3 linked regions of the Neurospora crassa OR74A genome follow. The protein of the gene in region 3 purifies or fractionates together with the protein of the main gene of each other region. This does not show direct contact. Links are inferred from orthologs where the notes say so. Each region holds a gene or a part of one and is shown on either strand. Other genes may lie near its edges. The genes, in order: NCU02293, cyt-26 and NCU16028.

Evidence for each region.
Region 1: the proteins of NCU16028 (region 3) and NCU02293 purify together in Saccharomyces cerevisiae (affinity purification with western blotting; 3 studies listed by BioGRID, with this or other methods). This does not show direct contact. The link is inferred for Neurospora crassa OR74A from reciprocal best matches to the Saccharomyces cerevisiae genes COX2 and COA6.
Region 2: the proteins of NCU16028 (region 3) and cyt-26 purify together in Saccharomyces cerevisiae (affinity purification with mass spectrometry; 3 studies listed by BioGRID, with this or other methods). This does not show direct contact. The link is inferred for Neurospora crassa OR74A from reciprocal best matches to the Saccharomyces cerevisiae genes COX2 and CYT1.

The regions. Positions count from the first base shown.
Region 1 is NC_026507.1:3,027,566-3,031,319, reverse strand, and holds NCU02293 (hypothetical protein), read right to left. Parts: upstream 2,234-3,754; 5' UTR 1,929-2,233; coding exon 1,695-1,928; intron 1,268-1,694; coding exon 1,148-1,267; 3' UTR 800-1,147; intron 707-799; 3' UTR 692-706; downstream 1-691. Other genes in the region: NCU02292 (hypothetical protein), read left to right, coding at 1-691; NCU02294 (hypothetical protein), read left to right, coding at 2,938-3,188, 3,270-3,754. UniProt on the Saccharomyces cerevisiae protein: Involved in the maturation of the mitochondrial respiratory chain complex IV subunit MT-CO2/COX2. Thereby, may regulate early steps of complex IV assembly.
Region 2 is NC_026501.1:4,144,848-4,148,601, forward strand, and holds cyt-26 (cytochrome-26), read right to left. Parts: upstream 2,716-3,754; 5' UTR 2,482-2,715; coding exon 2,407-2,481; intron 2,164-2,406; coding exon 2,009-2,163; intron 1,861-2,008; coding exon 1,798-1,860; intron 1,706-1,797; coding exon 1,033-1,705; 3' UTR 421-1,032; downstream 1-420. Other genes in the region: mbp3 (methylated-DNA-binding protein3), read right to left, coding at 1-265; aro-7 (DAHP synthase), read right to left, coding at 3,531-3,691. UniProt on the Saccharomyces cerevisiae protein: Component of the ubiquinol-cytochrome c oxidoreductase, a multisubunit transmembrane complex that is part of the mitochondrial electron transport chain which drives oxidative phosphorylation.
Region 3 is NC_026614.1:58,215-60,847, reverse strand, and holds NCU16028 (cytochrome c oxidase subunit 2), read right to left. Parts: upstream 1,320-2,633; coding exon 567-1,319; downstream 1-566. Other genes in the region: NCU16027 (ATPase subunit 9), read right to left, coding at 2,016-2,240. UniProt on the Saccharomyces cerevisiae protein: Component of the cytochrome c oxidase, the last enzyme in the mitochondrial electron transport chain which drives oxidative phosphorylation.

The sequences.
Region 1 (3,754 bases), on a different chromosome or scaffold from region 3:
AACAGGCGTAGGTAAGGGTGCTACCCGACCTGGCACAGGGACGCCTACGGCTCAAGGACCGTTTGGGTCATCATTATTTCGCGCGAAGAGACCGGCGTCTCGCCGTTTGTCAGAAATATGGAACGCTTCCTGGGACAACGGCGACCAAGAGGATGATGAGGGTGATGAGAGTCCTTCCGAAAAGCAGTCGAGTTCTCCCGGTCTTTACGATTTGGAATCCCCAAGGTTTACCGGGGCTCGCGAAGATGACGTGAGTCCCGGGGGCGGCGCCAATGCGGAAACCCCCCGGCTTTCATGGCCGCCGAATCTGAATCGCGTGGACCAATGTCTCAGGGAACAAGGGGAATATTTTGGTCGAGGTCGGAATGAGGAGGATAAGAGTACACAGGAGGACGGGGGAAGTCCGGGGTGGACAGAGACGGAGGAGGGAAGAGGTGACAACCTCACTCTCCAAAATGATGGGGACTCGAGTGATGGGTACCCTTCGGACACGTCACCGTCTACCTGTGAATGCACGCATTGCGGACATGCTGGGTATTATGTCATGGTTACTGATGACGCGGTAGATCGTGGCGAGCATGAGGTGCAGTTGGACGAGGATGTAGTTGGTGGAGTGATGCAGCGTTCGGGGTCGACTCAGACTATTATCCATACACCTACAAGGCATTCGAGCCAGGAGGCAGGAGACTGATGGGCGCCTGACCGGCTGAGGACTTGACTGTTGGTTAGTGAACTCCTGGTGTGGCTGTCTCTCGGAAAGCAGATTGAAGGTTGGTGTCTGGATATCGGAGGGACGCACCTTGATATCCCTTTTAGACATTCCTATAAACCAACATTCACTAGGTCGAAAGGATCCATCAACATCTTCACCATAACGTTGTTCAACCAACAGGCCATATCAGTGAAACAACCCGACTTGACCAATGTTGGAAACCGGAATTTCCCCCTTAGATACCCAATCGACTCAAATTTAAACGCCTTATCCCATGCATATATACGGTACATACACCAAGTACACACTATCTTTACACCGTCCCTCCTCTTTTCTCTTTCTCCCACCCCCAGTCTTCTCATCCAGTCGCTTTTAAGAGACGACATCGAATTTGAATTGGATTGTTCCGGATCGGATGAACCGAAGAGCATCGATTTACTCGCGGGCCTTGAAGTCGGTGTTAACGTCCATCCTGACGGCGCCCTGGGCCTCGAGCTCCTTTAGGCGAGCCTTCTTTTGAATGTCCTGGACGCGCCACTTCTTGAAGTATGTAACCTGTTGTATGGGAGAGAATGAGAGGTTAGCTGGCGTGTGTCCTGGTGAGAGCGTGTGTGTGTGTGCGTGTGTGTATAGTATGCGCTGCTGTCTTGTCTGAGATGCCTATACTTGCGTTGCCTGACCTGGCTGGCTGGCTGTTGGCTGTTGGCTGTTTTCGTTTTGCTCTCCTGTAGGAGGGTTGATATTGTTTTCTAGAATCCCTTCCTTCCCTCCTTCTGGGCGTTGGAGATTCTCTGCTTGCAGTGCTGTTCCTTGTCGATTGCCTGTCCCAGATACCTCTTTCTCATCCTCCTCTTCCTATTCCTCCTGCCCATCTCCTCCCCAAAACCTCCAACCCCACCACATCCAGCCCCATCATCCAGCTCAGAAGTGGTCCCCCAAAAGCATCGATAAAAACAAACATAGGTCGAAAAATGCTACTCACCCACTGAGCAGCGCAATCCTTCTCAAACTCGGCGCTCTCGGCCTTGCACGCCTTCGCGGCCGCCTTCTCGTCCTTGAGGGCGTCAATGATGTTGTTCCGGTCCAGGCAAGCAAAGTAGCCGTCGCGCGCCATCCAGCACTTTTGGCGCTCGGAGCGTGTAGGCGCAACGGTGCCCGCGCGCACCTCGGCCGCGCGCTTGTCGGCTTCGGATTGTTCAAAGAGACCTAGGACCATTGTGAAATGCTGCGGTGCTGCGGTCGTTTCGGCTTTGGAGTCGGGATTTGGTGTGTTCTTAGGGAGCCGGCGGTATCGGGACGGCGGGAGACGGAGGATTCAGTTGGGTTTAGATGGAAAGGGCCGGGACCAAAGGGTGGAATTTGGGAGCGAGGTGTTGATTGCGATGTATGCAGTGGTTCCCGTTACATATGGACGTAGGTTGGAAAACGGGGAAACGGGAAACTTGGGATCGAATTCGCGAATGATTCCCGAGCCAAGCTTCTGGGATGGGAAGCTTATCGAGCTCTTGGCCCGCTATCAGTAGTTTGGTATGTACCGGGTAGGTACCTCAGTTGGAGCTTAGGTTTGTGCGGCAGGCAACTTGTGCTGGGCTCCTTGGCTGCCCGAGCTGAGCTTCCATCCAAGGTGGGTGGTCAAAATGGAAGGTACAGAAGTACATACAGGTACCTTCCTTCTTCCCTCCCACCACCACTAACCCCCGGACTTTTGGTAGGTAAATTTGGATTCCACCCCATTGATAACCCTGCACGTGCCCTGTAATCTTGCAGCGGACGGGGCGGACGCAGGGACCAGGGTCAGCCCCTGCCCGTGTGTGGACTGAATGGAGACGACATTGTCAGCTGCATTGTGATGAGTGTCTTGTGTTGTGACACGATGGCTTTCGTCCGTGGTCGCAAACCTAAACTTTGACATACTATCTTTCCATAGTCTTTTCCATTTATGGTTTCTAGGGGAGAATCATTACGAGGAACCAAGGGAGGATACAGCAGCAACAAAGAGCTGTTGCATAACCACATGCTCGAATCACCCAGGAATCCTCACACCGAACGAGGGTCCCCTTCGACCTAGCTCCCTTCGAACACCACCCTCGAATTACCCAGACAACCTCCAAGTTCCAACCTCCATGTTCAATTACTGCGCTGAATAGAAACGCCATCGAGAACAATCATAGCTACCATTCAGCCGAATCTGGCATCACATACAGCTTGAAACATCATCAACCACAATGCCCCGCCGCCGCCGTCCCCCGCGCTCCGGCGCCCTAACCGAGCTTCCGCCCCTCAAGATCCTCAGCCAGATCGCCGCGCTACAAGCAATCTACTACACTGCCGCCCTGGTGCTCATGTTCTTCACGGCGGCCGTAGCTGGAAATCCTTTCACGCTGGACTTGGTGTTCGGGTGGGAGGCGGTAAGGGGGGATAACACACAGGGGTGGTTGAACGGCTTTATCTGGTGTTTGGTCGGCGGGTTGGTGCTGTAAGTACTCTCCCTCTGTCTCCCTCTTACCTTTGTTTCTTTGATGATCTATCAACCTCGCTAACGTATCACCAAAAACAGACCCCTCTCCCTAACAGCCATCGTCCAACGCTCCAAGCTCATCCTCGACTTTGCCCTCACCACGCACTTCATCCACCTCGTCATCGTCACTCTCTACACCACGCCCGACCACACCTTACCCCGCCACACAGCCTGGTGGTTGACCATGGCCATTTCGTCCCTGGCTTCCTTCTTGCTCGGGTCATGGGGGTGTCGATACAGAGAGCTGCAGCCTATTGCTTTTGGTGGACATGGCGGCGGCAGCGGAGGAAACACCACGAACAGCACCACCAACAACAACTTTACCAACGGGGATGGAGGAGCAGGGCAAGGAGACGAAGAACAGGGCTTCATCACAGGAGGAGGAGGAAGAGGAGGAGGGAGAACCAAGCGGGGATCGCGTGGCGATCTGGGAGGAGGGGATTACGAAATGGTCACCATGTCTGGCGCCAGTGGCAGCGGCATCGGCAGTGCTAAAGGTCATGGCAGATCACAAAGCACCGTTT
Region 2 (3,754 bases), on a different chromosome or scaffold from region 3:
CCCTCAAGGAATGGGCACAATCCATCATCATTTCCCATTCTTCCATTCCACGCATGAGACTCGGTTCCCAAAGTTTGCGGACTTCAACTGGTGGGGCGAAACCCGAGGTAAGCAGCGAGGCGAGGTAGTCTCGGTCTTGAGAGGAAGAGGAGAAGTCGACGTTGAAGTCATTGAGGATGTCATTGGCGAGGTCTGGTGACATGACATCGTTATATGGGAGGCGAGAGGCCTGTGATTGGGGTGGTGATAGTTTTGATGATGACATTTTGCTGGTTGTCAGTGGATGGAGAGTTTTGGATTTACATATGTGGTGTCCAGCAATCGTAGAATCAAAATGTGATTGAAAACTTCACGATGAGTTTGGGGTCAAGATGTTGTTGCTTGTCAGTGAGTGAATCGAAAAGGGAGGGGAGGGGGCCAAGACTTTGTTTGGAAGGCAAATCAAATGCCAAGCCAGGGGCATCCTCTGTGGCACTTCGTGCTGACATTTACCGTGATTCGGTGAAAGAGAGATTGCCAATCGAGAAATGTCAAGGCTTTCGAAGCTCATACTATATCTCAACTACTCTCGAAGTTAAAGGCGTACATGATGATGTAGCTGACAGGGAAATGGCCTTTACTCTTTGGCATCCGTTCAAATGCCCATGTCGTAATATCCGTATCCTGATCCACTCACATGCAAGTTCAGCTTGACCGTCATACCCATACCATCATACCCTGTCAGACACAGGCAATAACGTCTATGTTGTATTTGAGACCAGAAAATTTGATTTATACACTCTACGACCATCTTCATGTTCAACCCACACGCCCGCACATCTCCGCATTGCCCAGAGTTACCGATCCCGCCCCTGCCCATTCCTTTTCGTTTTGCTCTTTCTGACCGATGCGCAAGAGGAACATGGGGGAGCAAAATTTGGGCAGCAATAGTATATGATACATACACAGAAAAAGACAAGGAAAATCACGCACGTCTCACAACGGTTATTGTGTGAATGTCATGACTTTGCCCTTTGTTGTGGCAATGCTAAATTAGTGGCGGGTGGTGGACTCCTTGGGGGGATCGTAGACGATCTTCCTCGACTTGAGCCAAGCCCACTTGTAACGCTTAACATAGACGCTCAAGGCGAAGAGCACAGAGGTGACAACCAGAACCTTCATACCCATGCGCTTGCGGTCGTCCATCTCGGGCTCAGCAGCCCAGTTGAGGAACTCAACAACATCCTTGGCCATCTGGGAGGTGGAGGCGGGGGTGCCATCCTCGTAGTCGACGAGGCCGTCGTAGAGGACACGGGCCATGGCGATACCGGTACCGGGGAAGTAGGGGTTGAAGTTAAGGCCGGCGCCAACGGAAGCGCCAGCGGGAGGCTCATCGGGATAGCCGGTAAGGAGGGAGAAGATGTAGTCGCAGCCACCGTGGCGGGCCTTGACGATCAAGCTGAGATCGGGAGGAAGGGCACCGTTGTTGGCGAAACGGGCGGCCTCATCGTTCTTGTAGGGATCGGGGAGGTAGTCGGAAAGCTTGCCGGGGCGCTTCTCGATCTCGCCCTGGTCGTTGGGCTCGGTGTCGTACTCGTTCTCTTCGGCAAGAGCCTTGGCCTCATCGACGGTCAAGATGGTGCCGACAAGAGCGCGGTAGGGGACTCTGCTGAGAGAGTGGCACGAGGCGCAGACCTCACGGTACACCTGGAAACCTCTGCGAAGACTGCAGTCGGGCAAAAACAAAGTCGTGAGCCAGATAGTCATTTTGGATTGGAGGCGCGGCCTCGAATGGGCTGGATAGGAGTGGTTGCTTACGCTTGGTGATCAAAGGTCTTGAGCCACTGTTCGTGGACCCAGGGGTACTTGGTAGCATGGAGACTGCGTCAACGGTAAGCTTCGAGTCACTCCATGCCCAGATTCATGCCTATAGTCGAGCTCGGTCGTATATGCCTCAGAACCCATGAGGCAGACCTCGGTCCAGCGGCTAGAGCGGGGCGGATGGTCGGATCGATCGTAGGGGACTCACCCTTCCTCAGCCGGAGTCATGGCGGAAGCGAATCCATAGAGATGGTAGTACCAGGCGATCGAGCCGGCGGCGACGGCGGTGGCAGCGGCGGCAGCAATGTTCAGGCGGAGGGGAGACTCGGCAGCGGCGCCGGAGCTCTGGGTGGAAGCCGAACGCTGCCGGGCACGTCCGTTAGCTTTCCTCGAGGAGCGCGAGAGTGTGAAGGAGACAAGACAGGATGGCTCGGCCGGGGCGGGGATGGTCGGGCAACTGGGCCCCGGACCGGGAGCTCGCAGTAGGTTGACGGTAGCTCAAGCCGGCCCAGACCCAGCCATTCGAGTGGCGATGCGGCCGAGATCTGTTGTTTGGAGGGGCAGAGAGACGAGGACGAAAGAGTTGTCGAAGCAATCGAGACGAACCTTGGCAAATTTGAAGGCGCCATTTTTCGCGCTGGCAAAGGTGCGCGTCGAGCGCAGGCAGGTCCTCGCCAGCATGGTGGGCAAGCTGAGCGAAGCTTTAGGAAAGTATCGCGGGTTCGGGGGACAAGGCCAATTGGGTTGGCAATGTCGGTGACAGTATCAGGTCTGGCGGGCGGGAGGTCGAGCAGGTCCGTCCAGGTGCAAGGTCGGTCGATTCCCTTCACGTAGCGTCGTAGGTAGGACCGTAGGTTTCTTGAATTTCGGGAATCTTAGGAACACTCGCCATCTGATTGGCTGGGCCAATCACCGTGCAGCCTTTCGAGCTTTTACACTTCCCCTCGGCCCCGGCCGATGGATTTTCCGCACTAATTTACCTCATTCTGCCCGCGGGCCTCAGCGCTTTTTGAGACTACCTTGCTCAGTAAGGTAGACACCTCAGCGAGCCCAATCCCGACCTGCAAGTGGAAGTTTCACAAGCGACTAATCCAACTGGGCACAGCTGGGAGCTGGGCATCAGGATCAGGATCAGCATCAGTATCAGCATCAGCATCAGCCAGCATCGCCCCATGGAAATCATAAATGTCCAAGCTCTCGCTGCCCGCGGTCCGCCCCTTCTGTCTTTTCAGCTCACACGGCGACCCAGCGTGACCGGACCTAGCCGAGGAAAAGCTGCCAAGGAAAGCCAGGTTTGAAGCTATACACCACACATACATACCTATGCCGTGGCCCCGTAATCGCAGGTGAAGCTCAGATTTGGTCACCACGGCTATCACGCTTCACACCAACACATCACCACAATTGCATCCCCAAAAAAAAAGGCAACGCAAAACTGTAGTCGAACATGGACGATCCTAGAGATTATCATCGAAAGAAATCCAAGGTAATTGTTTCGTTTTGAGATCCAGACCCGCTCCATCTTTTACCATCTTCTATTGTCTCGACGGCCATTTCCCAAGATGCATTAATACACGCTCTTTATCAAAACACACCACATGCAGAAATGTCAGCTTTTGTGTTCCCATCCCCGCGCCAGCATATATTCGGCATCCCTCACTTAGGGTTCGTGAACCCCTATCAAATGACCCATAAACCATAAAGCAAACAAGACCAGGAATTGGCATGACTTAGGCAGCGGCGTTCTTGCTCAGGACTTCTCTCCTCTTTTTGACGGCCTGCGCAAGCGTGTCGAGAGTGGCGACAGTGTCCTCCCAGCCAATACAAGCATCAGTGATACTGACACCGTACTTGAGGCCGCACTTGCCTTCCTCGGGCACCTTCTGGTTACCTGTACGTTGTGTTAGCGAACAGCTTCAAATTTAGACGGTCATATGCCCCCAATAAAAAAAAT
Region 3 (2,633 bases):
AGGTTCCTTCCGCTAGGCTACGCCAGACTTCAGGAACTTGCTTGTTATTTTAACCCTTCCCCGCCCTGCAGTACTGCAGGGGGGGGGGCGGGTAGCCTTTTAAACCTAATTAACCTATAAAAATAATAATAATTAAAAGCACCCCCCTTAAGGGGGGGGTGCTTTCCAGTTAATGGGCCCCCCGCCCCCGAAGGGGGCGGGGTCCCCCGAATATTGTTTATAATATAACCCACCACCTCCCGGATGTTCCACTCCACTCGCTCCCCCCCGCAAACCTGCGGGGGGGGGAGCGAGTGGAGTTAATTCCGTTCCACTCCACTCCCCCCCTTAAGGGGGGGGGGAGTGGAGTTAATTCCATAAGTCATCCTCTTCATATTAGAAACTTTTTATCGCTACCCCCTCGCTCCCCCCCCGCAAACCTGCGGGGAGGGGGGGAGAGATAACCACTAGATGGCTTCATACTCAAATACATAGGGCCCCACGAATACCCCACACACCTTCGTGTGTGGGCCGTATTCGTGGGGTCCCCCGAGTTCCTTTATTTAGCCAAAAACTATTTTATCGTCTTACTGTTCTTCTAATCAAGTAAGGAATTTTTCTAGAGATACTGACTCTATAACTATAGGCATAGAACTGTGTAATATACCACAGATTTCAGAGCATTGACCATAGAATACTCCTTCTCTGTTAATAAAAACAGATACTTGATTTAATCTCCCAGGATAAGCATCACATTTAACACCTAAAGATGGAACAGCGAAGCTATGTATCACATCACCTGCAGTGATGATAAATCTAACGTGTGTTAGTTCAGGAAGGATAACTCTATTATCCACCTCTAACATTCTTAGTGCTCCTTCTTCCAAATCGGATTCCGGTACTATATATGAATCAAATTCTATAAATTCATCATTTGAATCTAAGAAATCAGGATATTGGTAACTTCAATATCATTGGTGCCCCTCTGCTAAAACTGACATTGAAGGATCACTAACTTCATCCATTAAATATAGCAACTTAAATGAAGGGAAAGCAATTAATATTAATATTACTGCTGGAGTAATAGTTCATATTAATTCGATTAATGTACCGTGATTTAAATATTTATGTGAAATTGGTGATTTTGTACTGATATAATTTCTTATTATAGATAATAAGATTCATCCTACACCAAATAGTATTACCACCAGATAGTACATAATATTGTCATGTAATTCAACTAAACCTTCCATCTGAGGAGTAGCACTATCTTGAAAATAGATACCTCATGGGCTTGGAGCATCAAAATTCATAATTAAATTATTAAATAATAATCCCATAAAAAAAGAAATAGAATATTCTATATTGAATATTAAACCATAATAATAAATATATTATATCTTTTCATAAAATATAGAATTTAAATATAACATTAAACTGTATTGTATATTAAGGCTAGGCTAATTCTTATCCACTAACGAAGTATACCCTGTGCCTAATGGGTTTTTATAGCCTGCTGCTCATAAGGTTAGGCTACGCTAGCGTCCTTTGTTTTTTCGGGGGACCCCGCCCCCTTCGGGGCGGGGGCCCAAAAAAATGAATTACCTTCGCTCAGCTTCGCACACTTCGCTCACTTCGCTCAGCTTCGCTCAGCTTCGCTCAGCTTCCCTCCCAAAAAAGTACCACCCTCCTCCACTCGCGTACCCCCTCCTTTGCTCAAGGTCCCCATCACATTTAATTATGCCCCCCTGCAGTATTGCAGGGCGGGGGAAAGATGGGGGCCGCCAAGGGGGGGGTTGAGTGGAGGAGGGTGGTCGCGATATTATGGCTAGCTAAATTATTAAGGCTGCTTCCTGCCTGCCTAGACTTCGTAGGCAGGAAGTAGGAGGGGGCCCCCCACGAATACCCCACACACCTTCGTGTGTGGGCCGTATTCGTGGGGTCCCTCGAAGCTAGCTAGCTAGCTAAGCAGGAAGAGCAGCCATATTTTTTATTTAAGCAGCCATACATCATTTTATTCCTAATCTCTATCATTACTATGCAACATAAAGAAGTAAAAAAGCCATCATCAAAGCAAATAATCCTGTCGCTTCCGAGAAAGCAAAACCTAAAATTGCATATGCAAATAATTGACTTTTTAACGAAGGGTTTCTTGAAACCCCTATTATTAATGAGCCAAATACAACTCCAATACCTATACCAGCTCCGATTAAACCTGTGGTAGCTAGCCCTGTTCCTATTATTTTAGCTACTTGTATCATTATATATACAATGGTGGAATCAAAAATTAACTAGAATCTAGTAACCTCTTCAATTCCACCACCGCAAAGCAGCAAATACCACTGAGGCTCCCGACAACAGTGTATTTACTGCTGTTGCAGTATATCTAATGATAATCAAGTAGCCATTAGGCTATCCCTAATGGCTACAATAATCATACGATAGCTAGCCAGTATATAACTGGCTAGCTATCGTAATCTTTAGTACATTACATATAAAGATTACATTACAATACATTACATTACATTACATGTAATGTAACATTACATTACAGTTACATTACTGTACATTATATTACATTACAGTTACATTATATTAAGTTACATTACAGTTACATTACAAAATATTACATTACAGTTACATAACATTAAGTT